Linked DNA regions of Drosophila melanogaster. The protein of the gene in region 3 interacts with the protein of the main gene of each other region in a pairwise test. Each region holds a gene or a part of one and is shown on either strand. Other genes may lie near its edges.

Region 1 (6,506 bases), on a different chromosome or scaffold from region 3:
GAAGGCAGCACCCTCACGAAGTACCTAAGTGATATCTCTCGCACTTCTGAATTTGGCTCTCTGCACCTGGAGTTCTACTATCTCAGTGAAGTCTCTGGATATCCGGTGTACAGGGAGCGAGTGGATGCTATCCGCGAGATATTAGCTAAAACAACCAGGCCCAATGGCCTTTATCCCAATGCCTATTGCACAAAATTTGGTAAGTGGGAAAATTACAACTGCTCCATGCACCGACTTTATGATACCCTGCTAAAGTCATGGATTCAGTCCGGGAGAACTGATACTCAAAATGCTGATACCTTCAAAGAAGCCATGCTAGCTGTGGCTCAAAATCTGGTTGTCATCAATCCCGAGGACGTGACCTACGTGTCCACGTTCAGGAATGGCACTCTTTTCCATCGTATGAGGCACTCCGATTGCTTTGCCGGCGGGCTTTTTGTCCTGGGAGCAGCAGAAACCCAAATGAAGCACTGGGAAAAGTATGCCCATATTGGCATAGGCCTCACAGATACTTGTCACGACAGCTACTGGAGTTCTCCCACTCGGTTGGGTCCGGATACGTTTGCCTTCACGGAGGAAAGCCAGCAGGAAATAGAGCCGCTCCAGAGGAACTATTACAATTTACGGCCGGAAGTCGCGGAAACTTACTTGGTTCTGTGGCGCATAACCCATCATCCACAGTACCGCTTGTGGGGATTGGAGATGGTGCAGGCGATAGAGAAGTACTGCCGAATGCCCTACGGATATACTGGAGTGATGGACGTTAACAACGTTACTTCGGAACCGGATGACGTGCAGGGGTCCTTCTTCTTGGGCTCCACTCTGAAGTATTTGTATCTGCTCTTCTCCGACGACGACGTGGTTTCGCTGGAGCAGTGGGTCTTCAACAGTGCAGGCCATTTCCTGCCCATTAAGGGCGTGAACCCAATGTATCGTCAGCATAACTCATCGAACTAAACATTAGCCAATTACCAAAATAGTTAGCATCTATTTAAAGTTTAACTTTTAATGCAGACATGTATAAAAAACTTGTGTGATCTAATACTTTCACAATGAATTACAAAACCTAATTTCTAATTAGCTGGGAGCACACACATTGAGCACACCTAAAAGCACATACACACATAAATGTCAAATGTCGAACATTGGCCCGCTAAACCATCGCTGGCATCCGCCCTAGAGCTCTAGAGCTGGCTGTTGGCCAGGTGGTTGTCGATGACCCGCTGGATGATCATCAAGCAGTGGCGCTGCCTGGCCACCGTGTTGTCGATCAGCTGTTCCGTGAACTGACTGGCCGCAATGTTCGTGTTGGGCGGTATATCCTGCGTGCAGGATATGTACCTGTTGAAGATCTCCGTGTTCAGCGACGTGGCCAGATACCGCTCGCTCTCGTCCTGCTGCTGCAGCTTGTCCAGCTCCTGGGCGGCCAGCAACAGCTGATCCTTGGCCTTCTGATATGATTGCAGCTCCTGCAGGCTGGCATACTCGGCGCTGCTCAGTTTCACGGACCTGCCGCCGTCTTTCGTCATCTGGCGAATGTGGTACTTGCGCTCGGCCACAAAATTACCGAGCAAGTATCCTGCGAAACCACGACACACAAGAGTGACTCATTAGGCGCTGTCCTGTGAATGCACTCACCTGTTATCAGCATGAAGAAGCCAATCGTTAGCACCAGGGAGGCACAGGTGCGCTTGGAAACGTACTCGCGGAACTCCCGAGAGCTGTTGGCCCGCACCGCCGTCTCGTAGCTGAGTACCTGGTGCATCCTGATGACCTGGTCCCCTTGGGGATTATAATCTGTGGGGCCTGCTTGGCCTAGTCACGTCGAGACACTCGGATGTGTCCTTCAGAACTGGGTGGGAACATGGTGCTATCGGTGGTATCTAGTGCCTAAAGCATGGAATTTGTAATTAAACATTAGAAACTGTATCTGTGAGTTACAGCTGTAAGTTTCTTAATTACTTCGATATGTTCAAGGATTTAAGAGCGCGGAACTTGGAATGATATAACACCTCTTGGTATGTCATGTCAGGATTTAATGTTCTCCTTTCACATTTTTAGTTTGAGCACTAAAACCGCAGTGTCAATGCCCCGAGTTCCTGTTCTGGCGATGCCGCTGATACGGAGGAGCGTGACTTAATCGCCCCACCTTAAAAGGCAATCGCGAAGCCCGTTGTTATGGGCATCGCACACGGCAAACAGCGCGGTCCTTTAAACGCTTCGTCGAACACTTTTCACTCACTCGCTTTATAGGATATCGTCGGCTTGGCTCGACTCTTGTGCTGCCAGGATGGGGTACATATGCATTAAATTAATTAATGACTGCACTTTTGTGTTGCACTGCCCGAAGGAAGTGGGCTACAAGTGTGGGAATGTCCTTTGCGAAGGGAGCGCGCTCAACTTTTAATTGTATTATTTATGCTTTATTTACTCGTCGCGTTCGCTCGGATCCTTGCGCGTTATCCTTGCGAGCGGTCTGAATGCCCGGACGCCCAGTCGGGAACTGACTCACGCTTCGTTGGGGGTCGGCTTTAATAGCTCTCCGTTCTCCGTTTTCCGTTCCGTGTGGTGAGTTTCCTGCCCCGATATGTTGCACATTTCAGCGTGGCACTACGTCGGCGGAAGGACGGTCAAGGGGAAGCTCGGAGAATGCAAACAAAGGCATTCCCAGTAGCTTCCTAATGAGGAATGGGTCCGCCATTTCGCCCACTCCGCCCGAGGCGTTCCTCAGAAACTATATCGGATTTCAAGCCATCGCCTCACTTTGAGTGATACTGCTGCTCCGTAGTTCCGAAAGTGGACCTCCCTTTTGATTGCCATAATCGTATTTTCTTTTCTGCTTCACTATTCCCTGCAATACTTCAAGGATATCACATGACCCTCGATTGCCATTTCTGTTCCTTGGGGTTCTTTGAAGTCCCCCCCATGACACCTTGCTTGCACATTTTCACTTGTTGTGCTGTGACATATATTACTGGGAATTTATGCATAAACTCAACCATTGCATACAATTTGAATATATATTTTGAGGTACGATTATAAACTTTTGCTTTTCTGAACTTGAAGTACATAATCCCATAACGCACTCTATTACTAAGTTAATCCATTGGGTGGCATAAATTAAAATAATTTATTGCACGATAAGCTTGTACACTTCTATATGTGCATCGATAGTGACTTCATTGGTCTATATAAAAGTGTGAGACCAACAGGAGATTTTAGTATACAAAATGAAGGCTTGCGTACCCATATTGGCAGCCCTTTTTGGATCAGGGAGCAGACTGGCATTTACTATTAACCATGGTTAATAATTCTTTATGATTTAATAAAATTAAATGAATTAAATTGCTTGAACTTGTATCCACTCAGAATTGATTGAAGCACTCAAAACACTCTTATTCCCTTTGCTAACACTTCATTCATACTGCCAAACACTCGTCTTGAGTATCTGCTAGTATAAATCAAACTTTTTCGTTGATAAAAGTGCTGCGAGATAAGATTTCGCACTTTGAATTAGCATCGATAGTGATTATGGCTAAGCTATATAGTATTGGGACCACCATGGGAGCCTTTTAGTCTTTCAATATGAGGGGTCTTACACTCTTGTCGCTCGCCTTCCTTGGGGTCTGTAGTGCCCTAACTGTGCCCCATTCGCTGGTCCATCCACGCGATCTGGAGATTCGTCATGGAGGGATTGAGGGTCGTATTACCAACGGAAACCTGGCGTCCGAGGGTCAGGTTCCCTACATCGTGGGTGTGAGCTTGAACAGCAACGGAAACTGGTGGTGGTGCGGCGGATCCATAATCGGACACACTTGGGTGCTCACTGCTGCCCACTGTACCGCTGGGTGAGTTATTTGATTTCACAAATAATTAACGCTCTTTGATAAATCATCGTATTGCAGTGCTGATGAGGCTTCACTGTACTATGGTGCCGTCAACTACAACGAACCTGCCTTCCGCCACACAGTGAGCAGCGAGAACTTCATCAGATATCCCCACTACGTTGGACTCGATCATGATTTGGCCCTGATCAAGACTCCCCATGTGGACTTCTACAGCCTGGTCAACAAAATAGAGCTTCCCAGCCTGGATGACCGATACAACTCTTACGAAAACAATTGGGTTCAGGCCGCCGGATGGGGTGCCATTTACGATGGCAGCAATGTGGTGGAGGATCTGCGAGTGGTGGATCTGAAAGTGATCTCCGTGGCGGAGTGCCAGGCTTACTACGGAACTGATACCGCCTCCGAGAACACCATCTGTGTGGAAACTCCGGACGGAAAGGCCACCTGCCAGGGTGATTCTGGTGGTCCTCTGGTCACAAAGGAGGGTGATAAGCTTATCGGAATCACTTCCTTCGTCTCCGCTTACGGATGCCAGGTTGGAGGACCGGCTGGCTTCACTAGGGTCACCAAGTACCTGGAATGGATAAAGGAGGAGACTGGAATCTATTATTAAAAAAAAACTTTACTAATTTCAAAGCAAAAAGGTGCTTAAACAAGTTTTAAATAAATGAAGAACATATGCTGTTATATTTTGTGTATTATTAATTTCTTGGAAGATAGTGGCATATTCATGTTTAGAGATAAAATTACCAATAATACATAATCAATACATTACATATTACATAATACATACCATTTAATACATTACCTATGTAATATTAACCTATTAGTGTTTTATTTTTTGATAATCTAAAAATCAACTTGTTGAGAACAAAAACTGTACAATGTGCCGTATGAGTAATATTTTATCACACTTTTTTTTGAAATTGGTAGTAAATACTTTCAATAAACATTATTCAGAATTTAAATTTCTTAAAGATCATAAAATACTTTACTCCTCATTTGGGTAATCTGAGTATATAATATATTTTAGGTGAAGTGAATGTCCTTACATGATACTATCATACTGAAGAGTAAGTTGCAAATAAGGCACATGTCATTCCACTTCAAATTTAGGCCATAATTTACAAAAAAAAAAAATCACCTGTAGTGGACTTATCAGTCGACGATGGCTCGCGATGATAACTTGATTAAAATTTACTGCCCTCCCATTTTACATACGTGTGGAAGGAAGGGCTCTTGGTCGAGATAAGACTACGGACCACTTCTGTATATAAAGGCGCTTCGACATCGGAACACCATTGAGTTGCAAGACTTGACCAAGATGAAACTGTTCGTATTCCTGGCCTTGGCCGTGGCCGCAGCTACTGCTGTGCCCGCTCCCGCCCAGAAGCTGACCCCGACGCCCATCAAGGACATTCAGGGTCGCATCACCAACGGCTACCCAGCCTACGAGGGCAAGGTGCCCTACATCGTGGGTCTGCTCTTCAGCGGCAACGGAAACTGGTGGTGCGGTGGCTCGATCATCGGCAACACCTGGGTCCTGACCGCCGCCCACTGCACCAACGGAGCCAGTGGAGTGACCATCAACTACGGAGCCAGCATCCGCACCCAGCCCCAGTACACCCACTGGGTGGGCAGTGGCGACATCATCCAGCACCACCACTACAACAGCGGCAACCTGCACAACGACATCTCCCTGATCCGTACCCCGCACGTCGACTTCTGGAGCCTGGTCAACAAGGTTGAGCTGCCCAGCTACAACGACCGCTACCAGGACTACGCCGGATGGTGGGCCGTGGCCTCCGGATGGGGCGGCACCTACGATGGCAGCCCACTGCCCGACTGGCTCCAGTCCGTCGATGTCCAGATCATTTCCCAAAGTGATTGCAGCCGCACCTGGTCTCTCCACGACAACATGATCTGCATCAACACTGACGGAGGCAAGTCCACCTGCGGAGGCGACTCTGGTGGCCCCCTGGTTACACACGACGGCAACCGCCTGGTCGGAGTGACCTCCTTCGGATCCGCCGCTGGCTGCCAGTCTGGTGCTCCCGCCGTCTTCAGCCGCGTCACCGGATACCTGGACTGGATCCGCGACAACACCGGCATCTCCTACTAAGCAGTTGATGTTCAATAAACGATTATAGCAAAAATGAAAAATTCGACCAAACTATTTATTCAGTTGTAGATTGAGGGGCACATTATTGAGAGCTAAATATTTATATATTCTATTATGTACATTAAATGTACATATATTATAAAACTAAAAGTAATCTCATATTTTCCTTAAATGTTTTTAAAACGAGATTGTTTAACTTATTTTTATATCCTATTTTTATATTCTATCCATATGATAGCTGTTGAACGCTAGTAGCGACTATAGGGTATTCCTATATTTAAAACTGTTTAAGCTAGGAAAGTCCACTTGCAGCTATTTATAATAACATAAATTTATATTATGTTTATGCACTTTAATTATGTTGCAAATATAACAAGTCCAATATTCTACATACACCATTTTCAATCCAGTTTGCTTTTTATATACATAATATACATAATAATTATAAACAATACATAATAATAATACATAATAATAAGACGTATGATCCATATATATATATTTGCATATAGTCCGATGGTTCGTCATTATGTGTT
Region 2 (7,289 bases), on a different chromosome or scaffold from region 3:
CGGAGGCGACTCTGGTGGCCCCCTGGTTACACACGACGGCAACCGCCTGGTCGGAGTGACCTCCTTCGGATCCGCCGCTGGCTGCCAGTCTGGTGCTCCCGCCGTCTTCAGCCGCGTCACCGGATACCTGGACTGGATCCGCGACAACACCGGCATCTCCTACTAAGCAGTTGATGTTCAATAAACGATTATAGCAAAAATGAAAAATTCGACCAAACTATTTATTCAGTTGTAGATTGAGGGGCACATTATTGAGAGCTAAATATTTATATATTCTATTATGTACATTAAATGTACATATATTATAAAACTAAAAGTAATCTCATATTTTCCTTAAATGTTTTTAAAACGAGATTGTTTAACTTATTTTTATATCCTATTTTTATATTCTATCCATATGATAGCTGTTGAACGCTAGTAGCGACTATAGGGTATTCCTATATTTAAAACTGTTTAAGCTAGGAAAGTCCACTTGCAGCTATTTATAATAACATAAATTTATATTATGTTTATGCACTTTAATTATGTTGCAAATATAACAAGTCCAATATTCTACATACACCATTTTCAATCCAGTTTGCTTTTTATATACATAATATACATAATAATTATAAACAATACATAATAATAATACATAATAATAAGACGTATGATCCATATATATATATTTGCATATAGTCCGATGGTTCGTCATTATGTGTTCCTAAAGCTTGATTTTTTCCGATACATAAATCGGAAATCGGAATAAGTTTATTTCCGTTTGCAGTTTAATATATTTCCCTTCACTTGGAAATATTTTATTGATTTCATTACTTAAGCAAGAAGACATCTGAATCCCATCCCAAAAACAGAACTTGAGTTGCTTGCTATAATCGTTTATTGAAGAAACCCCTCAGAATTAAGGAACATCAACTGCTTAGTAGGAGATGCCGGTGTTGTCGCGGATCCAGTCCAGGTATCCGGTGACGCGGCTGAAGACGGCGGGAGCACCAGACTGGCAGCCAGCGGCGGATCCGAAGGAAGTCACTCCGACCAGGCGGTTGCCGTCGTGTGTAACCAGGGGGCCACCAGAGTCGCCTCCGCAGGTGGACTTGCCTCCGTCAGTGTTGATGCAGATCATGTTGTCGTGGAGAGACCAGGTGCGGCTGCAATCACTTTGGGAAATGATCTGGACATCGACGGACTGGAGCCAGTCGGGCAGTGGGCTGCCATCGTAGGTGCCGCCCCATCCGGAGGCCACGGCCCACCATCCGGCGTAGTCCTGGTAGCGGTCGTTGTAGCTGGGCAGCTCAACCTTGTTGACCAGGCTCCAGAAGTCGACGTGCGGGGTACGGATCAGGGAGATGTCGTTGTGCAGGTTGCCGCTGTTGTAGTGGTGGTGCTGGATGATGTCGCCACTGCCCACCCAGTGGGTGTACTGGGGCTGGGTGCGGATGCTGGCTCCGTAGTTGATGGTCACTCCACTGGCTCCGTTGGTGCAGTGAGCGGCGGTCAGGACCCAGGTGTTGCCGATGATCGAGCCACCGCACCACCAGTTTCCGTTGCCGCTGAAGAGCAGACCCACGATGTAAGGCACCTTGCCCTCGTAGGCTGGGTAGCCGTTGGTGATGCGACCCTGAATGTCCTTGATGGGCGTCGGGGTCAGCTTCTGGGCGGGAGCGGGCACAGCAGTAGCTGCGGCCACGGCCAAGGCCAGGAATACGAACAGTTTCATCTTGGTCAAGTCTTGCAACTCAATGGTGTTCCGATGTCGAAGCGCCTTTATATACAGAAGAAGTCCCTTGTCTTATCTTGACCAAGTGTCAAACTACCCATATGTTGAGCTGGAGGGCAGTAAATTAATGTCATCCAGATTACATAGGAGCAAAAAGACAAAAAATAAACAACGCAGAGGCTTGTACAGCAATATAAAAAACGTAAACTTATCAGTGTTCAATGATTTGCGAATCAGTTAAAAATACAATAAATTTAATGTTAAATACTACTCATCGGATGCAATTCATAAAATCATTTTCTACGTGGGTACATTCAATTTGTTTAAACACATAAGTATCTTATCGGTGCCATAAAGCAAATCAGCATTGATACTATAGATTTTTACGATCATGTTGAGGGCTTAGAGATATAATTTTAATACAGATGGCCATAAAATGAATTTTATCCCGCAATCTTGACGGTTTCCGGTGGGGAGACAGTGAAAGTGCAACCTGCTACGCAAACCCAGGGAAAATGAGCTCTTTCGCTTTTCTCGTGGAGAACTGAGCACATAACTCACAAGGGTCCTTAAAAGCTAAATAAGGCAGGAGTTTTGTTGGAGGCCAATGAATCATTGAGTGCAACCCAGTTGTACACTGCAGAAAATCATGTATAAACCCAACATAGCATTTAGTTAATGGGAACTTATAAGAAGAATGTGCATTTAGCCACATTTGTGTAATGAGGAGTACCTTTATATAATTACGAGAATGCCATCCAGGTATTTTCAGCTATGGCCTCTAATTAATTCGCACTTAATGAGTTCCCCTCGACAGCTGTGACTTTAATTTTGAAATTCCTTGGGCCACCATCACTTCCTTCCTCTTCTCTTGGAAGCCATGCGAGTGGAGTGTGGAGTGCATTGGCCCCGCTAAAAACCCCGTACGACTTGAACACGTACGATGCCATTCCGCCCGGAGCTCCATTGAACCCCACCTTTCGAACACACACATTCATCTCAAAGGGCTGCTCCGTGAAAGTGGGCTTGTTCCTTTTCCTTTTCTCCGCCTTTAGCCAGGAGCTGGCATTTAGTTCCAAGTGCATTGACACACAAAAGCCCTGCGAGCGCCCTGAAGTAAGCAACATTCAACATTCAAGGCTCAAGACGCTCGGCTGCCAAGGACGAGTTGGGTCTTAGATGTACACCACCCCACCTCCCCCTCCCACTTCCCATGCAGATTAATCAATATTCATCAATCACAAAGTCAGAATCACTGACCCAGTGCCCAAAAGGCATTCGAAATCATTTCAATTCGGTAGATACTCGACTGTAAACTGCAGGTGTGGTGTGTTTTCCGGCTCTGTTGGTTAGCCAAAAGCTTAAAAGCTTGCATTTTCTCCTATTTTTAAGGGCTTTTCTCGGTGAATAGTTCTAGGATATGAACCCAAGTCCATGAATCCCTATTTACTCGCAAATTAACACCCTCATGCTACTTTTTGAATATTAAGTAGCTTTGAATTTCGGCTTGAATAGGTGTCAAAAAGTATGCAAAGTGCGTATTTTTTTTTTGGGCATTGATCTATATTGCTGGGTACAAAATATTAGACACCTATTTAATTTCATATCTCAACTGTATGCATCATTTCATCGAAATATAAGCAGATAATATTGTTCCATTTAGCACGTTTTGTTTTTCACTTACATATAAACCCACTGGGCAGTATTGATTTGGATTTTCAGGCATAAAAGTGGTGCGATTCCGTTGCTGGGGCTTCGAAAATCGAAAGTCGCTCATCACGTGCAATGCAACCACAAATGGACGAAAGATTCCTGAACTGAAATCGCTAAAATCGGTTGCTGCCTCCAAATGCAGCCCCACAATTACCGAAGTGCGGTCAAATGGGCCCATTGACTCGGGGTTCGCCCACACATTGACCGAGTTTTAGCCACATTGGGCACTAATGTAATTAGTGGAATATAGCGACCCGTGGCTGCCACTTTTCAGCAGTGCAACGCGGCTAATTGGAGGCGGAACATCGCCACGATGGAACACTAAAGGATACAGTGCGCGAAAGGATTACGCCAAGGCTCCCCGAGGAGCAGGGATAAATGCCCATAGTGTTTGTGAGATGTGAAGTGACCGAGTGATCCGATCCTGATAATCGCGTTCGCATAGACCAGTAAATCAGTGCAGATATGGGCAGCAATACGGAATCCGATGCCGAGAAGGCGTTGGGGTCTCGCCTGGATTACGACCTGATGATGGCCGAGGAGTACATCCTCAGCGATGTGGAGAAGAATTTCATATTGTCCTGCGAGCGGGGTGACTTGCCAGGTGTCAAGAAGTGAGGCTTCCTCCCTATGGCTTCGAGTAACTCGGCTAATATGATTTCGTCCTTGAAGGATCCTCGAGGAGTACCAGGGCACGGACAAGTTCAACATTAACTGCACGGATCCCATGAACCGCTCCGCCCTCATTTCGGCCATCGAGAACGAGAACTTCGACCTGATGGTGATCCTGCTGGAGCATAACATCGAGGTGGGCGACGCCCTGTTGCACGCCATCTCGGAGGAGTATGTGGAGGCGGTGGAGGAGCTGCTGCAGTGGGAGGAGACCAACCACAAGGAGGGCCAGCCATACGTAGGTCACATCCTGCCGCAGAATATGCCACAACTCTTACTCTTTTCCCCTCCTTTGGCAGAGCTGGGAGGCGGTGGACCGCTCCAAGTCCACCTTCACCGTGGACATCACGCCCCTTATCCTGGCCGCCCACCGAAATAACTACGAGATACTCAAAATCCTCCTGGATCGCGGGGCCACGCTGCCCATGCCGCACGACGTCAAGTGAGTGGGGTGGTGTAGGGATGCAGTTGCTCGGTGATATGGCTATGTAGTGAGCTTCCTCGTCCTTCGAGCGGCACGTTCCATTGTTTGTCCAATTGGCAACACACTTATGTAGCACATCGCTGGGTGCCTCTAATTTTAGATAATTGCGGGCAAATTAGGGTGAAATATTAATACAGGGTGTAATGTTGTGTGTGGGAAGAGCAGGTCCTTGAATGTTCTTAAATTGGGTCAATGGACTCAAGCCTTTAACAGCGTCATAAATGTCCTTGCTAGGAGAGAAGGTCCTTTGTACTCCTTTCAGATTGATTTAAATGTATTTATTATTATAGAACTCTTGGGTTCCGTACACTTTGTATATCATCGCTTAATCTCAATTGTTTCTAGGTGCGGCTGCGATGAGTGTGTGACCTCCCAGATGACGGACTCCCTGCGCCACTCGCAGTCGAGGATCAACGCATACCGCGCCCTGTCCGCCAGCTCGCTGATAGCGCTCAGCTCCCGGGACCCTGTACTGACCGCCTTCCAATTGTCCTGGGAACTCAAGCGCCTGCAGGCGATGGAATCGGAGTTTCGTGCCGAATACACGGTACGGTAGTAGTGTGCAATGTAAGCGGTGGCCAGTGTGCCACTAGAGTCTATGCGAATGCGAATGCGAGCCTTTGTTTGTGTTTGCCCAACAGGAGATGCGTCAGATGGTGCAGGACTTCGGGACCTCGCTCCTGGATCACGCACGCACATCCATGGAACTCGAGGTGATGCTCAACTTCAACCACGAGCCGTCCCACGACATCTGGTGCCTTGGCCAGCGGCAAACCCTGGAACGACTGAAGCTGGCCATTCGCTATAAGCAAAAAACGGTGGGTTCGGACTAATCCGTGCACATTAAGGAACTGTGAAGGTTACAAGCTTGTGGCTAGATACCCATGCCTAATCCACCACAGACCAACTGGGATTTAATAGCTTTATATATAGAAACGGATCTTAGTACCCTGCTTGAATTTATAAACATTACTCCCCCTTCTAGTTTGTGGCACATCCAAATGTCCAACAATTGTTGGCCGCCATTTGGTACGACGGACTGCCGGGCTTCCGGCGCAAGCAGGCCTCCCAGCAGCTGATGGATGTCGTGAAGCTGGGATGCAGCTTCCCCATCTACAGCTTGAAGTACATCCTGGCCCCGGATTCCGAGGGTGCCAAGTTCATGCGCAAGCCCTTTGTCAAGTTCATCACGCACTCCTGCTCCTACATGTTCTTCCTGAGTGGGTAAAGTGGGTGCTTAACACTTCATCCATCTAAATATGCGCCCATTCACAGTGCTCCTGGGTGCTGCCTCCCTGAGGGTGGTGCAAATCACCTTTGAACTCCTCGCATTTCCCTGGATGCTGACCATGCTGGAGGATTGGCGCAAACACGAGAGAGGTTCACTACCGGGTCCCATTGAACTGGCAATCATTACCTACATAATGGCTCTAATATTTGAGGAACTGAAATCTTTATATTCGGACGGCTTGTTTGAGTACATCATGGATCTTTGGAACATAGTGGACTACATATCGAACATGTTCTATGTGACGTGGATTCTTTGTAGGGCCACCGCTTGGGTAATCGTCCATGTGAGTCCATATGAATCTAATGAATAAATTGGAGTTACTGAAACGAATTGATTTCAGCGTGATCTCTGGTTCCGGGGCATAGATCCTTACTTCCCAAGGGAACACTGGCATCCGTTTGATCCAATGCTTCTATCAGAGGGCGCCTTTGCTGCCGGAATGGTCTTCTCCTATCTAAAGCTCGTCCACATCTTCTCCATTAATCCCCACCTGGGACCCTTGCAAGTTTCACTGGGTCGCATGATAATCGACATCATCAAGTTCTTCTTCATCTACACACTGGTGTTGTTTGCCTTCGGATGTGGTCTCAACCAGTTGCTATGGTACTACGCTGAGCTGGAGAAGAACAAGTGCTATCACCTGCATCCCGATGTGGCTGACTTTGATGACCAGGAGAAGGCTTGTACCATCTGGCGAAGATTTTCCAAGTATATTACATTCATTTCTATGTACTTTATCATATTGGCATCCCATTTCAATTTACTTTAGCTTATTCGAAACATCACAATCGCTCTTTTGGGCCTCTTTTGGCCTGGTGGACCTGGTCTCCTTCGATCTGGCGGGAATCAAGAGCTTCACCCGCTTCTGGGCACTGCTAATGTTCGGCTCCTATTCGGTTATCAACATCATTGTGCTTCTCAACATGCTGATTGCCATGATGTCCAACTCCTACCAAATCATCTCGGAGCGAGCCGACACTGAGTGGAAGTTCGCCCGATCCCAGCTGTGGATGAGCTACTTCGAGGATGGCGGCACCATTCCACCGCCCTTCAACCTCTGTCCCAACATGAAGATGTTGAGGAAGACCCTGGGCCGAAAGCGACCGTCACGAACCAAGAGCTTCATGGTAAGTTACACTCAGAGAAATTCAATATTTCAGTTTAAGTATTATACAAATCCACACATATATATTAAATTCAGTGTACTCTACTTTTAAATGATATTTCTTATCATATTACTTTTAAATGTAAGTAACATTTCGAAAGTTCGATTTTTTCAAGTTGAATCACCTCACAGTGAGAGGCGGCTCACAATCAATACAAATCTTAAGCGAAATCATTTTCAATCAAGCCCATGCAGAGCTATCTGTGCGTCAAATTGACGTCTAATACATCCTTTCTGTGTCCTTCCACCC
Region 3 (10,585 bases):
AGGTAAGACTCTTCGTAATCGTGAAGATATTGCAAGCCCATAATTGTTTTACACATTTATTTTAATAAAAATATTTGTAATAAAGGGTCTTGTGTTTACAACTGCTAATAAGTCTAGATAATAAATACATATACATATTATACCCGTTACTTATCGAGTATAAGGGTATACTAGATTCGTTGAAAAGTATTTAACAGGCCGACTATATAAAGTATATAAATTCTTGATCAGGATCAAAAGCCGAGTCGATCTAGGTATGTCCGTCTGTCCGATTGTCCGTATGAACGTTGAGATCTCAGGAAATATAAAAACTAGAAGGCTCAGACAAAGACGCAGCGCAACTTTGACTCATGTTGCCACGCCCACAAACCGCACAAAACTGCCCCGCCCAAACTTTTGAAAAACGTCTTGATATTTTTTCATATTTTTATAAGCCTTGTAAATTTCTATCTATTTGCCACGCTAGGGTATCTAATATTCAGGGAAATCGACAAAAAAATTAAAAATCTAAAGTGCTCTTTTATTTAGAGAGCCACATGGAACAAGCGATATAAGTTGTATAAGTTGTATGGGAGAAATGGCTTTTTCCATGCCACTTGATTAATTAAACTTTTCCTCACCTCGATTCCAGGTCTGCGTGACTCAGGCGGACGAGCAAACGTCCCTAAAGCTGACCCCGCCGCAATCCTCGACGGGAGTCGCTGCCGTTTCTGTCACTCCGTTGCAGAAGAAGACTAGTGGGGTTAACCAGTTCATTGAGGAGAAACAGAAGATCTCGCTTTCCAAGGAGCGGCGAGCGGCTCGCACCCTGGGCATCATCATGGGCGTGTTCGTCATCTGCTGGCTGCCCTTCTTCCTCATGTACGTCATTCTGCCCTTCTGCCAGACCTGCTGCCCCACGAACAAGTTCAAGAACTTCATCACCTGGCTGGGCTACATCAACTCGGGCCTGAATCCGGTCATCTACACCATCTTCAACCTGGACTACCGCCGGGCCTTCAAGCGACTTCTGGGCCTGAATTGAGGCTGGCTGGCGGGGGCGGGTGGAAGATATAAACCGGGCCAATCATGGTTCGAGCGGGAGAGCGTAACTCAAAGTTTGTGCCAAACTTAAATGGTCGTGTATGCGTTCAGCGGAGATCTCAGTCTATGTACAGTTGGACCCCCAGTTGATGAACTTCCGAGTTCAACTTCTCTAACACATATATACTTTCAAATGCGTTCTTGGTGAACTCATTTTGAAGAAGTGGATGAATTTGGTAAAGTGTAATAGATTGAATATAATTTTTAATGTTTAACGTTTCGGCAAAGTGAAAAGCCCCCACATTGGAAAGTCAAAGATGAGACTCGAGTGTATATATAGTTTCAAACTAAGTTATTATTTCTAGCCGTAATTAAAATACTTTCATTTAGTTTTGAACATTTTTTTAATATATTGTTGTTTGGAATCGATTGAGATGTACCACCACATTAAGCGTAGATTGTTCAATACTCATACTAAAATGGGTTGTGCTGCGATTAAAGTGAGGATGTTGCCTCAAGGCACAGCTACTAGGAAAATCATAAAAATTACATGGTAAAGAATTATACATGCATTATACTCCAGCTAAGTGGCATCCCAAACGAGAATAGCATCAAATTGAATTTAATACAATTAAATTAAATGTTTAGGCACAAAGAATTGTGGCAACTTTCGTGTTTCACCCTAAGCGTATGGATAACCAAAAAGGTGTTTGTTAAATTAAATCTGCGCTCAAGATATGTAAGCAACTACTAAGCTAAATAATAACTTCCAAGAGAGAAACGTTTTCTAGGCATTACTTTAACGATTTGTATTTATATGTACTTTAATTGTAGGTAAACGATAAACCACTATACCTAATGTATACTTTCAAATACGCTTTGGACTATTTGTTAAATAATTTAACGATTAATTGTTTTTATGGCATAGCAACTATTGTGTTGAGTGGGCAGCTTAAAGCTAGCACATCGAAACTTACTTAAGGTAGATAAATGTTTAACTGCACGTTACGAAATGCAACAGAGTTGGCGAAAGGACGTAATTCAATGGATGTGTTAACTCAAGTACATGCTATATCGTAAATGTATATCACAATTTATGTCTTTTAACGACGATGTACGATAGTTTCACTAATTATATTGTTTAACGAGAAAGAGCGAGCAAAGCGTAAATGAAACAAATAAAAGACACATTCGAATTAAAGTTATAAGAAAAAGCGTTTGAATTTATCTAGATTGGTCTACCTTCTTAAGGGTAAGTTAATTAGGTTTCAAAACGAAAGACTTTTTCCCTCTTAAAAGATCTAGCTGAAAAAATGATTACCTAGCAAGACCCGTAGTTTTAGCGACACCTTCTGATAACTTACATTATATATCCTTCGTTACAATGTATTTCTTGTGCTTATAATTTTTAACTAAATAATTTTCAAAACTTCCTTCCTCTAAACGGTTTCGAGCTATTGGACATTCTCATTGCTGCCAGTACAGAAAATAATTAAATTCGTTTGATTATTTTAGCAGAATAGTTTCCCTTTGGCCCAAATGAAAACAAACAGAAAACGAATAAGTTGGTTTTTAAATTTTATTGACACGGTTGGAAGAACCTGTAATACATAAAATGAATCAGTGCATCAGTGCACTTTAAAGTACAATAATTTTTCATATTTACATTATCTCTTCGCCTGACTGCAAAGTACGCGGCATGGCATATCGTTACAACAAAGACACTAGAATAACACTAGAATTATTCTAAGGGGTCTTTGGTTACAAGCTGTTTACCCGCAACTATCGGCTGCGTTCGATAGCCATTCGCAGGGAACGCCGGTTTGTTTCAGGTAGCTCAATTGTCTCACCACTAGCAAAGTGACGGCTTGTAAATTGTTGGGATTTAAAATTTAAAATTGTCTGCTGCACAGGGCAAGATCCTAAACATTGGTTACCTGAGAGCGCGGATTTCCGCGAAGCGAGACGCGTTCACAGACAAGCAGACCGCATCCCTTCGCAGAGCGCATCCCTGTAATGAATATAAGCCAGCGACGCACTTGAAAGACCAGCCAGACCAATGGAGACCTCGGAAGCGGTGAATACGTGTGAGGAGGGAGACCAGCTGAACGGCTCCTTCCGCCTGCAGTGCTCGATGTCCTCCGTGGATATGGAGAGCGAGAGTGACCTCTCGCTGGCATTCGAGCGCGAGGAGCAAATACCGGATGGCGGCTGCGACGAGCTGCCGGCCTTCGAGATCCGCGCCTTCTCGCCGCATGGACGCACCCCGTCGCCCATCGACGATCTCGATCTGTCGGACATCGAGACGCCCAAGCAGCCGCAGAGGCAGCATCTCCTTCCGGAAGAGGAACCCCAGAACGATCCTCAGTACGTTGCCCTACACGAGATAAACGCCCAGATCAGCCCGCCCAATGACGCCGACGACTCCAACAGCTTGGAGACGATCTTCGAGGGCGTTTTCCTGAGCACCCCGCCCCGCGATAAAGCTTCCAGCTCGGGCAATTCCCGATTTACGCCCAAGCGCGGACGTGCAAATCTCATCGAGCTGATGGCCAACCGGCTGCACGGCGGCAAGGAGAACCAGTCGCCGGGAGCGCGAGTCTCTGACCCGCATTTACCCTCGCCACTCAAGGACCCCACCTAGTGACCGCAGTCCAGCCTTCCCAACCAAAGCCATGGAGCCCTCGCTCAGACTGCCATCGATGTTCTAGAATAAGTTACCATTTACCTGAATGTATTGTTCACACCCAGCGGTCAGCAGGTGTACACCCAGATGTGTATCCTCGGCTGATCCTTCAGTTTACCTAAGCTTCGTGTCACGCGTTTTCCGATGTCAGGCTAAAAGATTTTGTAGTGGTAAATAAAGATTGTCGTCTTTCCATGTTTCAAACATTAAACCAAGGTTATGCTCTTCCCTGCCGGGCAGATGGTCCAGGTAGGCAGAAGGAAGGTTTATATTGCTCATAGAACAGACTGATCAGCGGTACCTAGAACTAAACCAACCACTATTGTAAACACTGGAAAGTTCGATGGCTAATTGACGGATCTAGGCATACATTGCTACTACGTAATTTGTAGTACAAATTGATTTTCGAAGCCAGTATGTTTACAACATATTGTAGAATGTTCGATGTAACAGTTTGAAAAATAAAATATCGTACTACGATGTTCGTTTAAAAACTTGTCTGAATAATATCCTTCTCACGTTTCGATTTATTTATAAAGAAAATGTCAATATTTGCTTATTAATCTGAAATGTAATGGTAATTTTTGGACCTCGTGTACCTTAGGACTACTATTTTTACACTAATCCTATTGTACCTAGGTAGTACATTGAGTAAACTAGTATAAAAATAAGTAATTCTGTGATTAGGTATATTATTGGAAGATACTAAATCACTACTTTCCTGAGTCGCATTGCGAATTCGCGTCGTACACAAACTCTACGCTGGAAGCATTATTCAAACTTAAAAATAATTGGGACGAGCATTGAAAGTAATATAGAGTAATAAAATCGGGAATGTTTCATAGGTTATAGAACACATTCGAAAGTAAAACAGCGACCAGGACAGGGGAAAATGATTACTTAACTTTACAATTTTGTAGGCAATTACAAAAGTTAAATAACACTTGCTTTTTTTCTATATGGCAGTGTGAAACGCATTTTGTCCAGCAAGTCCTGTCGTGCGATTCGCATCCAATCAGAAGTTCTTTGAATGACGCGATGCTGAAAACACCTTGACGCGCAGCAACCCTGGATTAACTTCTTGCCATCTGAAATAGGTTGGTGAATAATTAGACGACTTTTAACGAAATATGCCCCTTACTAACCGCAAACGGCGTTCGCCCAGCCTGGCCTTCACCCTGTTCTTAATGGTGGACACTCCGTTTGCGCTGTGAAGACCACGGCCCGTGATAATGAATACGTGCTTGTACACGCGGGTGGTGTTGCGCAGCACAGTTATGTGGCGGTCAAGGAACAAGTCCAGGCAACTGATCGCCTCTACCGTGTGTAGGTAATGCAGGTCTAGCAGGTCCGGGTTGTTCTGGGTGTGCCGATGCACCTCCATTATGCAATTGGCCGCCCTCTGGTTGAATACGTCGATCTTCTGCTTGTGTAACTTGGCTATCTCCGAGTAGTATAACGCCACGCTACTATTGCCGCGCTGTACCGCCTGTTTGGCCTTTAGATAGCACTCTGCTTTAAGTTGGGAGTGATGGGCGGCCATGTTTCGCGTCTCTTCAAAGTCGCGAAGAGCGGCGCACTTGACCTCCTCTTGCAGTTGGGGCGACCGGCCAGAGGCGTACGAACTGGAGCTGGAGCGCTGGCCTTGGCCGGAGGAGTTATGTTGCTTTTGTTGCTGCTGCTGCCGCCGCTCTTCCAGCGCCATTTGCTCACTAAGCTTTTCGCCCTCGCGAAGGGCCTTATCATAGAGTTCCGCTTTGCTCAGCATACTCTTAACGTTGCTGTCCAAGACCTCGACTGTTTGAACGTAATTGCTGCCGGTTGCGGCAAAGACCTCAAGCACAGTGTCGGTAGGAACGTCCGGGAACGTCTCGCACAGCTTCATCTTGGTTAGGTGGGTAGCTATATCGGTGGGCGTTTGTTTGCGAGCGGTCAACTCGGCTGCCTTCTTGGCGGCCAGCTGCTCGCTATTGTATATGCTCCAGGCCAACTCCATATCCAAAAGCTCAGCCACGTTGCTCGGAGACTCGCTGCAATCGGCGTAACCTGGATGCTTGAGCAGGCGGGCGAACTGCTCGTCATCGCGCATTGTCTGCTGGCGTATCTCCTCTAGCTGGTTAAACACAGCTTCCATCCATAACATGTAAAGCTGCTTGGCTAGCTGACGCGGCATAAATATTTTTGTTGCGGTGGGAAGCTCCTGTTCCGGCGGCAACAACTCGTCCTCCGTGTGGAACTGAGCGCGCAGCTGCTCAATTAAAGTGCCGCCCAAATCAATTTCCAGCAGAGTATTTTCTTCAGGGTCCTCCTCCTCCTCCTGCTCTTCAAGCTCTGGTTCCTCGGGTGCTTCCAGTAGCTTAGGCACTGTAGGTTGATCCAGGATTCCATTGCGAATATCGCGAATTTTACGGGTGTGCTCCGAGTATTGTTCGTCGCCTAAAAATCAATAATCATTAGTTATTATTAGTTATTTAATATTAGTTAGCATCAGATATCGAACTCGAATCTCTAACATAATATAATGGAAATACATTAAATTCATTAGTGCCGTGAGTGTTAACGCAATATAAATAATAAGTTTATTTTTAATTGACTCCTATTAGAACAATATCTTACCTAACACAAAGCAATTCTGGATTTTCAGTTGCAACTCTTTGTTGGTGGGGGCCGATGCTCGTTTGTTGCGCGGTTGACGTTGCGGCTTGGATTCGGTCTTCGATACTGGTAAAGTTGGTGAGGCGCAGATGGGAGTTGAAATCGGAGATTCCTGGGCTTCAACCGCCTTGTCGCAGTCGCATTGAAACTGCGCCGCCTCCTCGCTATCGATAGTTTCTTCAAATCCGATTTGATCCGAACCAGTGGCCGCGTTGAGCTCGTCCTCCTTTAATAGAATATCAACGGCCCAATCCACGTCGGCCTGGCACTTTACAAACAGATCCCAGAGGCCGGCCAGCTGTTTGTTGGGATACATCTGGCGCAGGTGTGCAAACCCTTTCGGTTCATTTGGGCAGTCTAGGCTGTGCATCTCAAGAGGCTTTGCCCCGCTAGACTCCGCTTTCGACGGCACCACCTTTATTTGGTTCTCTTCGCGGAGCAGATCAATAATAGACAATTCGCTCTTTACGGGAGCTGCGGCACCCAAAGCATCCGGAATTTCCGGAACTGTCGCGTCGCCTGTGTCTACTGAGTTCACTGTTTGCGACCAGTATGAAGGCGCTCCGTGCTCGTAGGGCACCCACGTTTGGGCATTAGCATTCAGCTTAAAGGCATTTTCCGCTGGCGCTGGGACTGGGGCTTCCAGCAGCTTGCTCTCTTCAAAGCTCGTGATGATAGGCACGGCAGGAAGGGGCGGGTGATTGCGTAGTTGCGGCAGCTCCACAGAATACTTTGTCTCCTTCATTAACTGTCGCATAAAATATTCCGGTAGAGGATGTGAAAGATACAAACTATAGTAAGTGCCATTACTTAATAAGCTTCGGGGTAGAAAATAAAATACAACCAAGAACGTAATATACCAAAAATTTACCAATAAAAAATGAAAACGAGCTAGTTGCCTCAAATTGTATGTGTATGTGGCTAGACTGCCACATTCCGATCCTCGGATATTCGATACCCGTCTTCTCTCAGCTACAAAAAAGCGACTGTTTCTCAGATTGCCAGCGACTTTCTGACTGACCATGGTATGCCCTAAAAAATTAAGTAGCCAACAAAAAAGGCCTCTACTATGTTTCTGCAGGTGGTCTGAATGTTTTTCGCAATTCAAAGGAAGTTCGCCGGAAAAATAATGAAATGCAAAGAAGCAAAATTGAATTGGTCAGTGATAATGATTAAGAATAAATATATACCTCTTAAAGATTTTTTATCGAGCTTAGTTAAACGTTTTACACTCGCGTAACGGGTATACAATTACACATTTTTGGCTGACTCACAATGAGATTGCAGTTAACAATAAATCTCTATCTTTATATACATATGTATGTATATAGACGATTTAAAGTGCCTTCTTACCTGAATGAGCTCTCCCGCAGTCGTCCGCTCGAATCGCTCTAGCATGCGCTGAATATTCTCCCGTGGGACGTTGTGGACGTTTTTCTGGGCCAGTTTGCTGGCAGACTTGCACCAACTAGTATTGGGCTCGAGAAGCTCAATTACGTAACCGTGGCGCACGGCGAACTGGACATATGGCTGCATCTCCCAGACCATTGTATTGGTGTTATCCACGATGATGGGGCTCCAGCCGGAGGCGGCCTTATCGCGCACTCGCTGCTGGTTCCACTCGTGGGCAGCTGGCAGCAGAGTGGGGTTGAAGACATAGCCGCGGCGCGTCTTGAAGTAGTCGTCTGAGCTCAGGACAAAGTCGCGCACCTGGTGTCGATCGAGTAGATGCGCCTGGCGCAGCAGAGACTCTGCCAGTGTACTCTTACCGCTGCCTGAAGGGCCGCGCATTATGATCATCAGCTTATGGCCCGCCTGCGCCCGCTGGCAAATCGAGTTAAATTGTTTGTTGCTTTGGTTGCTGTTCAGATTGCTGGCGGGGCACATTCTAATGGAGCTTGGGGCTTCAGCAGTTGCATATTTCCTGTGAGTTCCACCGCTCTTGCTGCGACCGCAATTGTTATTGTCATTATTATTATTGTTGTTGTTGTTGTTGTTATTATTATTATTATTATTCTTATTATTATTATTGTTGTTGTTGATGTTGATGCGGTCCAACAAAAGCGCCAAATCCGCTGGTTCAGCTGAATGCGAGCTTCGCTCTGTCGACATGGCGTTTGTTTTCCTTTTGCTAGCTTGCCCTGTGAAAGCAGATCGTTTAGGGGGGATCGACCAACGTAATGCGCAGTAACCACAGACACCCCATCACCCAATTCGCATCTGAATCTCGGACTCACCAATATCTGACCAGACTGTAATCCCCCGATGTCGTAACTGCGCGTTGATGTCTCAATCTCTCTCATTCAATCGGTTGTCATGCAAGGATCAACCTGCGGGCTGCAACTTCGTTTGCTTGTTTCCAGAAATCGGGAAGCTATGCGTCGCATTACATCCGTTAATTCGCTGCATTGCAAGTTGGGAAAACCACGTCTGTGCGGAGGCTATCGATGGAGGAGGCTATGGTCACGCGTCATCGATAAGCAGCAGTGCTGGCGGCCAGCTTTTTTCAAGCCAAGCTATTGCTTCGGAATAAAATCGCTAAGTTTTTGGATTTTTTTTTTTAATACTATGAAAACATTATGTTAAGCACATAAATAAGATTCTTAATATGATTATGATAAATGTTATAAAATAACATGAAATTATAACGTCGTTATCACGTCCGTCCGTACGAAATCCAATATCTCGGGAACTTTGAGAGCTGTTAATTGGGTACTAAACACCCGAATTCTAGTTTCGCTTACGCAGCAAAATATAGTTTTTCTTCCGATAACATAGAAATGGAATTGTGAACAGAAGAAGAGAAGGGAGAATGCTATAGTCGAGTTACCCGACTATAAGATACTCAGTTAGTAGTGTGCGAATTTCATAATTTTTCTGGAATATCGATCGATATTGAGGAAATGTGTGTTATCTTTGTATGGAAAAACATCGATAAATAAATCGTGTTATCTGTATATTATTTCGCACCAAGGACATATTGTTGTTTAAAGAAAATAAATACGTCTTTCGTTTCTACATTTGCCATCATATTTTATTGAGATACCATTTACTCAGTTAGTAGTGTGCAAATTTCATTAATTTTAAGAACATTTTTTAAAATTGTTTAAAAGTGGGAATGTTTTGGGCGTTTTGCTGGTGTAAAGAGGGACGTGGCAAAAGTGTTTTTGATACAGATGGAAATTGACAAGACACACAATAAAACGAAAAAATTAAAATATAATGTATATAATAATATAATATATATAATAATATGTATAATATATATATATGTATATATATATAATATAAAAATAATAAAATATAATATAATAAAATATAATTATAATAGACAAATAAAAAATGAAAAAAATATCTTAACAATTTGGACAGTTTTGGGCGGCTTGTGGGCGTTTATTGGGCGTGTTAACATGGGTCAACAAACTTGCGCTGCGTCTATGTCTCTATAATCGCTATAATTATTCTTAACATTCTAGCTTTCAAAGTTCCTGACTGGACAGGGCACATATTCAAAAATAAGTGGAATAAATAGTCGATACCGAAAAGGGACATGGAAAAATATCTGTATTTCATATTTCGCACTGCTATTTCATTGAACACAGCTGTATATACATAACCAAATCCGATGCAGAGTATGAAAACAATATTTTAGTCCGAAGGTATAAAAATTTTATTTATTTGAATTTTTTTTTGTGTGTATGCCATATCGTATTCGATTCTATTTTAACCCTATTTCTTTAATGCTTCTTGATTAAAAAAAGCAAAACATGTTTCAGGATATACCTTTAGATTGAGGCGGAGCTGCTCTGTCTGAGTTGCCTTCTACGCGTTTTTAGCGGAGTCACCAGATATGGAATTTTTCAATTTTTCAAGCTTCCTTTAAAAGATTGTAGTCTTTGGAGGCGTCTAAAGGTGGGACTAATAAAGCGCCCGGCCAAAGCGCGCAAATACGAAGATATTTTGGAGCATGCATACATCAAGGCAGCAAGGGTATTTTTTGCTGCAGATGACCAAACTGGTCTGGAGTTATGAACCAAACCAGCAATGGTTGCTGGTGTTGCCTTCCCCCATTTCGGTGTAGTTGCCCAATTTAGAAGAGAGCGCAGATATGAAACCGCTGAGGACCAAACTGTTTTCAAAGCTGAATATGGTCCAGCTCGTGATCCCTGGGAAAGTGTTTTAGCGACTGTTTCCGTAGCAGAATTCACTGAAGCTTTGCTT
Region 4 (8,460 bases), on a different chromosome or scaffold from region 3:
GGAAATGGTGATTCGGTTCAGCCCGTGGATATCACCAAGGCCGATTTGAAGCAACCCTTTCAGTGCGACGATGGTCAGTTCGTTGAGATCGCTGGCATGTGCGTGGAGAACAAGCAGCATTTGGATTCTTTAACAGATGAGATTGGAAATGCCGTCAACGATGTGCTACAGCAGTCTGGAGCCTTTCACAAGTTTGAAAAGGTCACCGAGAAGCTGGGCAATTTTGCCGGTGCCGAGGATACCGAAAACGTTGATCCCAAAGGTTTTCACTCGAAAAGAAATGATGGTCCACAAACCGTAACTTCCCATGGCCAGTCATCGAAGCTGGCGGATGGTTCGAAAGAGCGTTACAGGCCAAAGTATAAGCAAGAGTACAACACGAACGACAGAAAGCAGCGGTATCGGAATGAAGATCACGATCGCCGCAGCCGTACAGATGATCACTCACGGGAGAAGGGTAAAACTAGATGCTACGATCAGTCATCCAATAAACGAGGATGTTACAATAAGAACTCTAAAAAATCCAACGAGGAGCACTCCAACGAGAATAGCAAGGAACGCTATCCTAATAACGATAGCGGTAGTGGCGAGTGGCATGAACGAATGATGCTACAGCGAGAAAACGCTCGCCACAAACATCAGAAGCGGAACAATAAGAACTGGTTCATCAAACGAGGCGAAAGTCGCGAACAGATGCGTTCTGGAGAGACCCAAAGCTAAATGGATTCGCCGCAATCTTATATATAATCTACGCATCAAGACGATGACCTCTATCTTCATCCCGTAGGGAAGAAGGGATCGAAATTTCGCAACAGAGGTCACATATACATATATACTTTAATCCCAAGATATACTTAAGGACAGAGTGTGCTAGTAAAGCGCACACCGAATTTGCGCTGGTTCCTAACTTATACATGTGTGTGTTTGTAATATTTCGACGATGCTTCTACAGAGTGTTTTTTTCTTTTTGTTCAAGACAGCAATTAAACAGGAATCAAGGTTTTTTGAAACACACTGTAGAACCAGAGCTTAATAAGCATCAAGCGATGCAAGTGCTTAATATTTATTTATTTTTACCTACAATACAACAATCGTTTTGGCTGCGTTAAAGCTAGCATTATCTTTATAATCCCGATATCGCAATGTATGTACATATACAGATTCAATAGTCAGTGTTTAATACTAAGTGTATCGCATTTTTAATGGAAATATCGTACATATCGCCCACATTTAACTAAAATGGAATTAATACTAAAAAGCTTATGAGGACTTATGAGGATTAAAATCAAAATTAAATGTAAATCCCACTTAAGTTAAATGTGAGCGATGTCTTTGTATAACATTGGTTCCTCCCATTGAAGGGTGTTATTTCTTCTACAAAGTTCCAGCTCAACCTAAGAGACAGACCCATCCAAGTCCGTCAATAAAGCAAAATCAATTTCCTTTCAACGAGTTTATCAATAATCCTTTTGAAACATTAAATTTCGCTACAAATTATGTATTGATATATACATAAATATATATATTTGTGATACCTATACTAATATTTTTTTTTAGTCTAGAAAAATAAATTATTGTACCATATTAGGTATTCCTGGAAAGCCAATTTAAAAAAAAGAAATCCTATAAAACTGATAAAAATCGAAAATGTAAAGGAAATCCATATTTTTGTATGCATGTTCGTTCAAAATCTAAGCGTATATATTAATAAATGTATAAATGTGTACCCCAAATGTTTTGCGATGAAATAAATAAAAATCCTTCAATTTCATTTAGTACTTCTTTATCTACCAAACATTGAAAAGGTTTTCACCATTCTTGATTTAAATATTTGAAAAAAGGGAAAGTAAGAGTATCACAATATTTCTTACTATTCACGACGAATATACATGCACATACATATGTACATACACAGGTGTGACCTTTCACCTTTTTGTTCGAGCTAGGTCCACTCTAATGTACATATACATATTACCTCTGGGTGTATGTACGCATATGTTACGTGCTCATGCACTTTCATTTCTTGTCCCAGTTTTCGGAAAAGGGAAAAGGGGGGGAGGGGTCCGAGCCAAAGCCCAAAGAGAGCGACTCGTTTTGTCGGCCAGAGTGGTGGAAGAGGAGGAGGAGGGGGGGGGCTGTACTAAAACTGTGCCACGGAAGGATATGCACTCATTGCGCAAGCCCTTCTAGGCTCGATTTTACTACGAGCACAACCAACACACGCCCACACACTCCTCCAATCGTCCAGTCACGCGCAAAATTATTCAGGGCATCCGAGCGATGTAAAAGCAAGGTGAAGTTTAAATACCTTAACAATCGCAAATCCATATTGAGAACTATCAAAATAACTAATATTTACTTAGCTAGGATTTCCACAAAGTAGGCATTATGATTTCACACGATGATCTTATGAGGTTTAGTTACTATTAATATATAACATAACTTTTTCAGAATATCATATTGATATTGCAAATTTAAGTTAGACTATGATTTATAAATAAACTATATTTAAAATGACTAAAATAAAACTACAACAAAGCAAGAAAGTAAAAGTTTTCAAAAGCTTTAAACTGATATTTTAAATATTTCAATCCTAACTTGCTTTTAACTAAAGTATATCATGTTTATGTCGACACTTTTCCCAAACCAATATGGGATGTATATATTTACATCGGTTGCTAAATTGAAGGTAACAAATTTTAGTCATATTACCACCTTTTCGGATATAATTTTGTCCAGGGAAAAGCACCCACACAAAAATATGATGAGTGCAAGCAGTGCTGCCAATTTTTTTCAAGAACAATTTTTTTTTTTGCCAGTCGAATCTCATATACCCTTGCAGTAAATATAAATTTAAAAAACTGGTCTATAAAAAAGTCAAAACAATTTATCAAAACAAAAATTGATTAAAAACAACAAAACTATGATTTCTTGTTTAATATTTTCAATTATATTTCCGTCTGTTTGGTGTTGGGCTCTTGGACAGTTAGAATTACCGGTGCCCGCTTAAATATTTATTTTATTTTAAGCAATCCACCATAGACGGGAAAAAAGCTAAATTGACAACCGTGGGTGCAAGTACCAGACAGAGAGAGAGAGATAGGGAGAGGGAAAGAGAGAGGAAGAGAGAGAGTGGGAAGCCGAACCGAGTTTAGAACATTTAGCTTCGTGAGTGATTCGTGCGTAGTGCCGAATAAGACCAACACGGTGGTGAAGGTGGGGGTGCTGGTGCCGAAGTGTGCGTGTGCACTTGTTTGTTGTTGGTTCACTGAGGCCCGTTCGCGCGTCAATTCAGTCTCAGTTACTAAACCGATTTCAAGAACTACGGACGCTTCGCTCGGCCCTTGCTAAGTGGCGTGTGCTACAATTAAGTAACGGGCAGAGACATTTCACAACAACAACAAAAAATAGGAAAATAGAATACAACAAGAAATACAAAACCAAAAACCATCAAAATCCCAATAAAACCAAACCACATTAAACAAGAAAATAATAAATAGACATCCGAGCACATATACCCACGCAAAAGTAAAACAATAGCATACTAGTTGGTACAACTGGGGTATTTTATACATAACTCGCTAAATCCTTCGTTTAATACAACGACCACCAGGAGGAAACAACCAAAAACTACAGTAAATCGGAAACAAGAAATAACCATCAGCAAACTGCACCGGTAGTTAAAAAAAAAAAACAAATAAATGTTGAATTACAATTTTTTATCTATTTTGTTCGAAAAAAATATTGCAATATATTTGTGTACTTGTGTGTGCTGTGCAAAAATTGAGAAAGCAGCGAACTATCCCCCACTACACATACATCTATCTAGCCCCCACAGAAAATACAATAACAATGATTGTGATATAAAAAAAAAAAGAAACGAAAAAAAAAGAAAACAAAAAAGGAGATGGAGCATCGCTTCTCTCACTTTCGCTCGGCTGTTTTCATACTTCTTGTTTTGTTGTCGTTAGTTATGGCGCTCACTAGAGCACTGGGCTTTTCAGCGCCGAAAGGGACAGCTGTTCTTCAATAAATTTGGGTAGAGAGAGAGCTCGACTCCAGGGAACGAACTATAACTCCCTTTCCTATGCATTCAAACTTTCGTAGCTCAAAAGATGAAAGAGCAAACCGAAGGGTGCACAAGATTTGAATACCCAAAGCTTTTACAGTAGGGTACTTTAGTTGGCTTGAGCTCAGATTATTAAATACTATATATGGATATTGATTTGTTAAGAAGTTTGATGTAAATACAAATCGATCTATCTTAATCTAGCATATCCCAATTTGTTGTCGTAATTCGTGCTTAAAAGCTATAGCTAGCAGCTGATATTTGCGTTAGCAAGCTCCAAATACAGTACGCATTCTTTAACTTGACCATTTCACAATTCTGTTCAATAAATAATTCAGAGTACATGTCGATACCTCATGTTATCAGTGTTATGAAAATTTCATCCCACTATATATAACTTTGACACCTCTGAAAATGTTCGTGCTAGACAGGTTCCACTGTACTTTCTGCACAGTCTTCTATAGTTGTGTTGCACAACAAAAGACGAATTTTATAATAGTACATGTGTGCGATTTCATTTGCGCAAGCTTTTGTTTTTTTTTTATTTATTTATTCATCTGAAACAACATCGATGATTCGATAGCAATTGTTGCAAGTTTGAGAGCATAGTGACCACCGACTGCAGCTGCTTTTGCATTTCTGCCAAAGAACGAATGAAATGAAATAATTTTCGACCAAACCAAAAAACGAACTTGTGCCAGACAAATACTATCGCGTCAGAAGACCATCATTTGGCATTTTGTCGCGGTGTTCGTCGCAAGCTTATTGTATCTACTTGCATGCATACAGGGAAAAAATAGTATTCAAAAAAAAAAAAAAAAAAATTATATTGTGTACTGTACACACTCAAATGTGTATTGTATAGACAGACATTCCGGCATGGCAGTGTATTTGTCATTTCAATTTTCGTGTGTGCTCAGATAAACGAACGAGAATCATGTGCCTAATATTGTTTTTTTTTTTTTTATTTGTTGTTTGCTGTTGTGAGGTAAAATGTCCCAACATCTTACGAACAGCTGACTGTGTTTATGTGTCCTCATATGATTATGTTGCGTTATGCTTCAAATTTTGGCAAGTGAAGTGCATGGGTGAACATAAAAAAAAATAATAATAATACAGCAACAAAATTAAGAGGAAGTGAGAAAATGCCAATAGTTCAGGCACACAAACTCATACGCAGTTTGTCGGTCGGTCAGCTGTTTTGTGTTGTCTTGAGCACCAGGGTCTCTCATTTTTCTATTTTTTTTTTCTTGTTGTTCCCCCACTCTCTATCTCTCTTTTCCTCTCTCTCTCTCTATCTCTCTCTCGCCGTTGAAATTATACCCCTGCGCCAGTCGGGGAAAAATTAGAGCAACGCTTGCTCCACAACGCTCGATAAAACTGCGGGAAAGAAGGCTGCAAAGCAATAACTAAAAATAATTTGTGATGATCTTGTAAATTGAAGTACTGCACAATGTCTACAATCCACAAGTTTCGAATGCACAATATAACGTGTGAGTGTGATTTTACCACTAAGCGCTGCAAGGAAATTCCCCTAAAGCTGGTTATGCAATGTATTGAAAATCGTAGAGCATTTCTCTTTTGTTTGTTGTCGATAAAAATATACCTATCTAGTGCGATACAATTCAGCGCGCAGTAAACATTGAGTCCAGCCAGATCTTTATATATGTACATATGTATGTACATATCCCCACATTGGCTTTATGTAATGGGGCCCGGTAATTACTTCGCTCGGTCACATTTTCGTTTAGATTGGGCACTTCAGACCCTTCAGTTGCAGTGGTAATCAATTCAACGGCATTAATTACACTCTGCTATGCAAAATATGAATGCAAATCGAATGGGGAAAAAAACAAAATATAAAACAAATGTAAAATACGATTGTGAGCACAACATTAGCATAAACCCTACCAAAATTACAATTACATTCAAGAGAAACTGTTAATCTCGAAGTTAATCGAAAATACGCTAATTCCTATGTACCTATGTCTGTATTTAGTTACTTGAAATGGACATCTGTACAAAAACGAACACAGCCTCTCACAACATTTTCCTTGGAGAAACCACCTGTATTAGAACCTAAATAAAAAACAGATGATTATAAAATATACAGCTGTATGAGCGTTTGTGTAACCTCATCTAATTATCTTCAAACAAGCAAGCTGATTTCCTTTAGCAAATAGTCGTACTTTAAATACCCTTTGTTACCTATTTCGCAGACACGCAAATTGAAAGCTTAACTTAATTGATTCCAATTTCGCTAATTTGAAGACAAAAGCGTAGTCATAAACGAATTGTGCTGTGTAAATAAAAACAAAACTACTTACACTCAAAACAAAAGTTTAAGATGCAATTTTGTTATACGTTCTTTTTAATTCCACTAATTAATGCTTCTAACAATTTGTATATATCAATAAATATGCGATGAACTGCAGAAAATATGCAACTAAAAAATGTTTTAAAATAAGATTTAAAGATTTCTGACTGCATAATTTTGAGACCTTCTGCTAGATTTACAAATCCTAGGTACTTCTAAAGGTTTGGTTTTTCAATATAAATCCAATCTCTGTTTTATCCGATTGTTGAACTGCCTTGATTTCTATATGAATGCATTTTGAATGCAAAGTTATGTAAGCAAATACAGTATTCTATGTACTCCCCACTGCGCGTGTGTGTGTTAGCCAAGTGAACTTGAAAAGCCCTATATTCACTTTTGTGTCAGTACATAAGACACACGGAAAAATACGTCTTTAAATGTTCGTAGTATTTGTTGCTGTAGGTGTGTGGGATTTGGAGGCTTCAACGTTTTGATTTTGCGGGAGACACAATAAGTAATTCTATATACATACATATATACAATATATATACATATATGCAAGTATATAGTCAGAAGTCGGAGTTAGCTTATATGGCATTTAAGCTTAACAATACAAAGAGGGGGCCTTTTTGTCATTTTAATCAACCTTTAAAACTGGTGGCCCAGATTTTATTGATTTTATGTTGTGAAGAGCGACCCACACACACACACACACACACATACACTCGCACACACACAGTCCATTGAAGAGTGCATTTTCGCTCAGGGAGAGTGTCAAAAGTGAGAGATAGAGATACCGTTGTGATACCGTTTTCGGTGAGGGTGAGAGAAAGGCCATCAGCTGAGAGAGTTCACTTTCTCTGCCCGTTCCAGTCACAACGAGCAACAGCAACCTGAATATATAAATATATATAGAAATGTTTATATATACAAAATATATGCAAGGATGTGTAAAGAATCCGAGCTTGGGGATGTATTTGTGAAATTATAAGCTAAAATGTCAACGGAACAGCGCCTTCGGCTCTCGGCGGAGTTTGTTTTAGTGATATAGTTCAAAACACCTGCTTTGGGAATTGAATATGCTAAAGAAAAGTGACTAAATATCTCGAAAAACCAAGGAATATCTAAAGTTGTGAAGTACCTAATTTAAATAAATCCGTGTACAAAATAAGGACTCGTTGTTTACCCCTTAAAGTTCAAATTTTGTTGCTTGTCCGCATCAACAGGCAAGTCAATAGAGACGTTGAAAAGTTTTTAAACTTAAGTATTTGAAGAAAGGGTTAATCTTCCCATTTAATAATAAATTGTGTTGTTTGAAAATAAATAAAACAACTAATTGCGCTACATTAGAAGCAGTGATAACTCTAATTAAGAGATGCCTCTAAGTATGCTATGAAATTTAGAACATACTCCTTTGACATAGATGCATCCTTACTCTTGGCAAAATACCACCTAATAAACATTTCTTTTGTTAAAATTCCCAAATGGAAATACCTAAAGTGATTCTAGGTGGTGCAGTCTGCTTGACCTTTAACCTTTGCTCCATCGCATCGCACGACTTGCCTATCGCACACAACCAAAAGCACAAAATTACCATGATCTGTCCTAGAACTAAGACTTAGATCAACCTATATTTATTGGTTTAACAAAGCCATTATCTACCCGTATCACAAATAACCTGCTAAAGGCAAATGTCAAACCTTCGTAACGGTTATGCCTTTCATAGCATGTGGCCTTCAATTGGTTTATAAAATGCAAAAAGCAGGTTATGTACATGCAATAGATACGCATACTAGCACGCATGACCCCGCTGCATCAACACAACTGCACTGGTGCTAAAAAATATGTGTGTGGGCGGGCGCTGAGGTCTCTGTGACGTATGTATGTTATGTTACTGCGCACTGAGACCCACTCACTCTGGAGAAAAGTGAGTGAAAATCAGAGAAAGAAAAGAGAAATGGCTTTCTCTTCTACTAAAATTCAAAATAAAATTATGCTAAGCTGGGGGATCCAATACTATTTCATGTTAAGGACAAAGATTTCAAATGTAACATAACCAAACTCTGCCTTGATT

Evidence for each region.
Region 1: the proteins of CG7139 (region 3) and Jon99Cii interact in a two-hybrid assay, tested with the Drosophila melanogaster proteins (one large-scale study listed by BioGRID).
Region 2: the proteins of CG7139 (region 3) and Jon99Ciii interact in a two-hybrid assay, tested with the Drosophila melanogaster proteins (one large-scale study listed by BioGRID).
Region 4: the proteins of CG7139 (region 3) and Tob interact in a two-hybrid assay, tested with the Drosophila melanogaster proteins (one large-scale study listed by BioGRID).

What each region holds. Positions count from the first base shown.
Region 1 is NT_033777.3:29,923,254-29,929,759, reverse strand, and holds Jon99Cii (jonah 99Cii), read left to right. Parts: upstream 1-5,144; 5' UTR 5,145-5,172; coding exon 5,173-5,970; 3' UTR 5,971-6,006; downstream 6,007-6,506. Other genes in the region: alpha-Man-Ic (alpha-Mannosidase class I c), read left to right, coding at 1-957; CG15522 (uncharacterized protein), read right to left, coding at 1,185-1,579, 1,639-1,765; Jon99Ci (jonah 99Ci), read left to right, coding at 3,586-3,848, 3,906-4,461. UniProt on the Drosophila melanogaster protein: Major function may be to aid in digestion.
Region 2 is NT_033777.3:29,916,667-29,923,955, reverse strand, and holds Jon99Ciii (jonah 99Ciii), read right to left. Parts: upstream 1,741-7,289; 5' UTR 1,715-1,740; coding exon 917-1,714; 3' UTR 501-916; downstream 1-500. Other genes in the region: Jon99Cii (jonah 99Cii), read left to right, coding at 1-166; trp (transient receptor potential), read left to right, coding at 3,893-4,041, 4,100-4,337, 4,399-4,541, 4,929-5,130, 5,225-5,401, 5,569-5,803, 5,859-6,157, 6,215-6,582 and 1 more. UniProt on the Drosophila melanogaster protein: Major function may be to aid in digestion.
Region 3 is NT_037436.4:22,063,051-22,073,635, forward strand, and holds CG7139 (uncharacterized protein), read right to left. Parts: upstream 8,799-10,585; 5' UTR 8,602-8,798; intron 8,506-8,601; 5' UTR 8,477-8,505; coding exon 7,718-8,476; intron 7,113-7,717; coding exon 6,326-7,112; intron 6,146-6,325; coding exon 4,855-6,145; intron 4,798-4,854; coding exon 4,725-4,797; 3' UTR 4,220-4,724; downstream 1-4,219. Other genes in the region: Oct-TyrR (Octopamine-Tyramine receptor), read left to right, coding at 1-2, 632-1,024; CG14561 (uncharacterized protein), read left to right, coding at 3,083-3,667; CG7133 (uncharacterized protein), read right to left, coding at 10,225-10,585.
Region 4 is NC_004354.4:16,086,363-16,094,822, reverse strand, and holds the start of Tob (transducer of ERBB2), read left to right. Parts: upstream 1-3,327; 5' UTR 3,328-3,676; intron 3,677-5,455; exon of another isoform or gene 5,456-5,562; intron 5,563-7,433; exon of another isoform or gene 7,434-7,612; intron 7,613-8,460. Other genes in the region: CG42354 (uncharacterized protein), read left to right, coding at 1-720.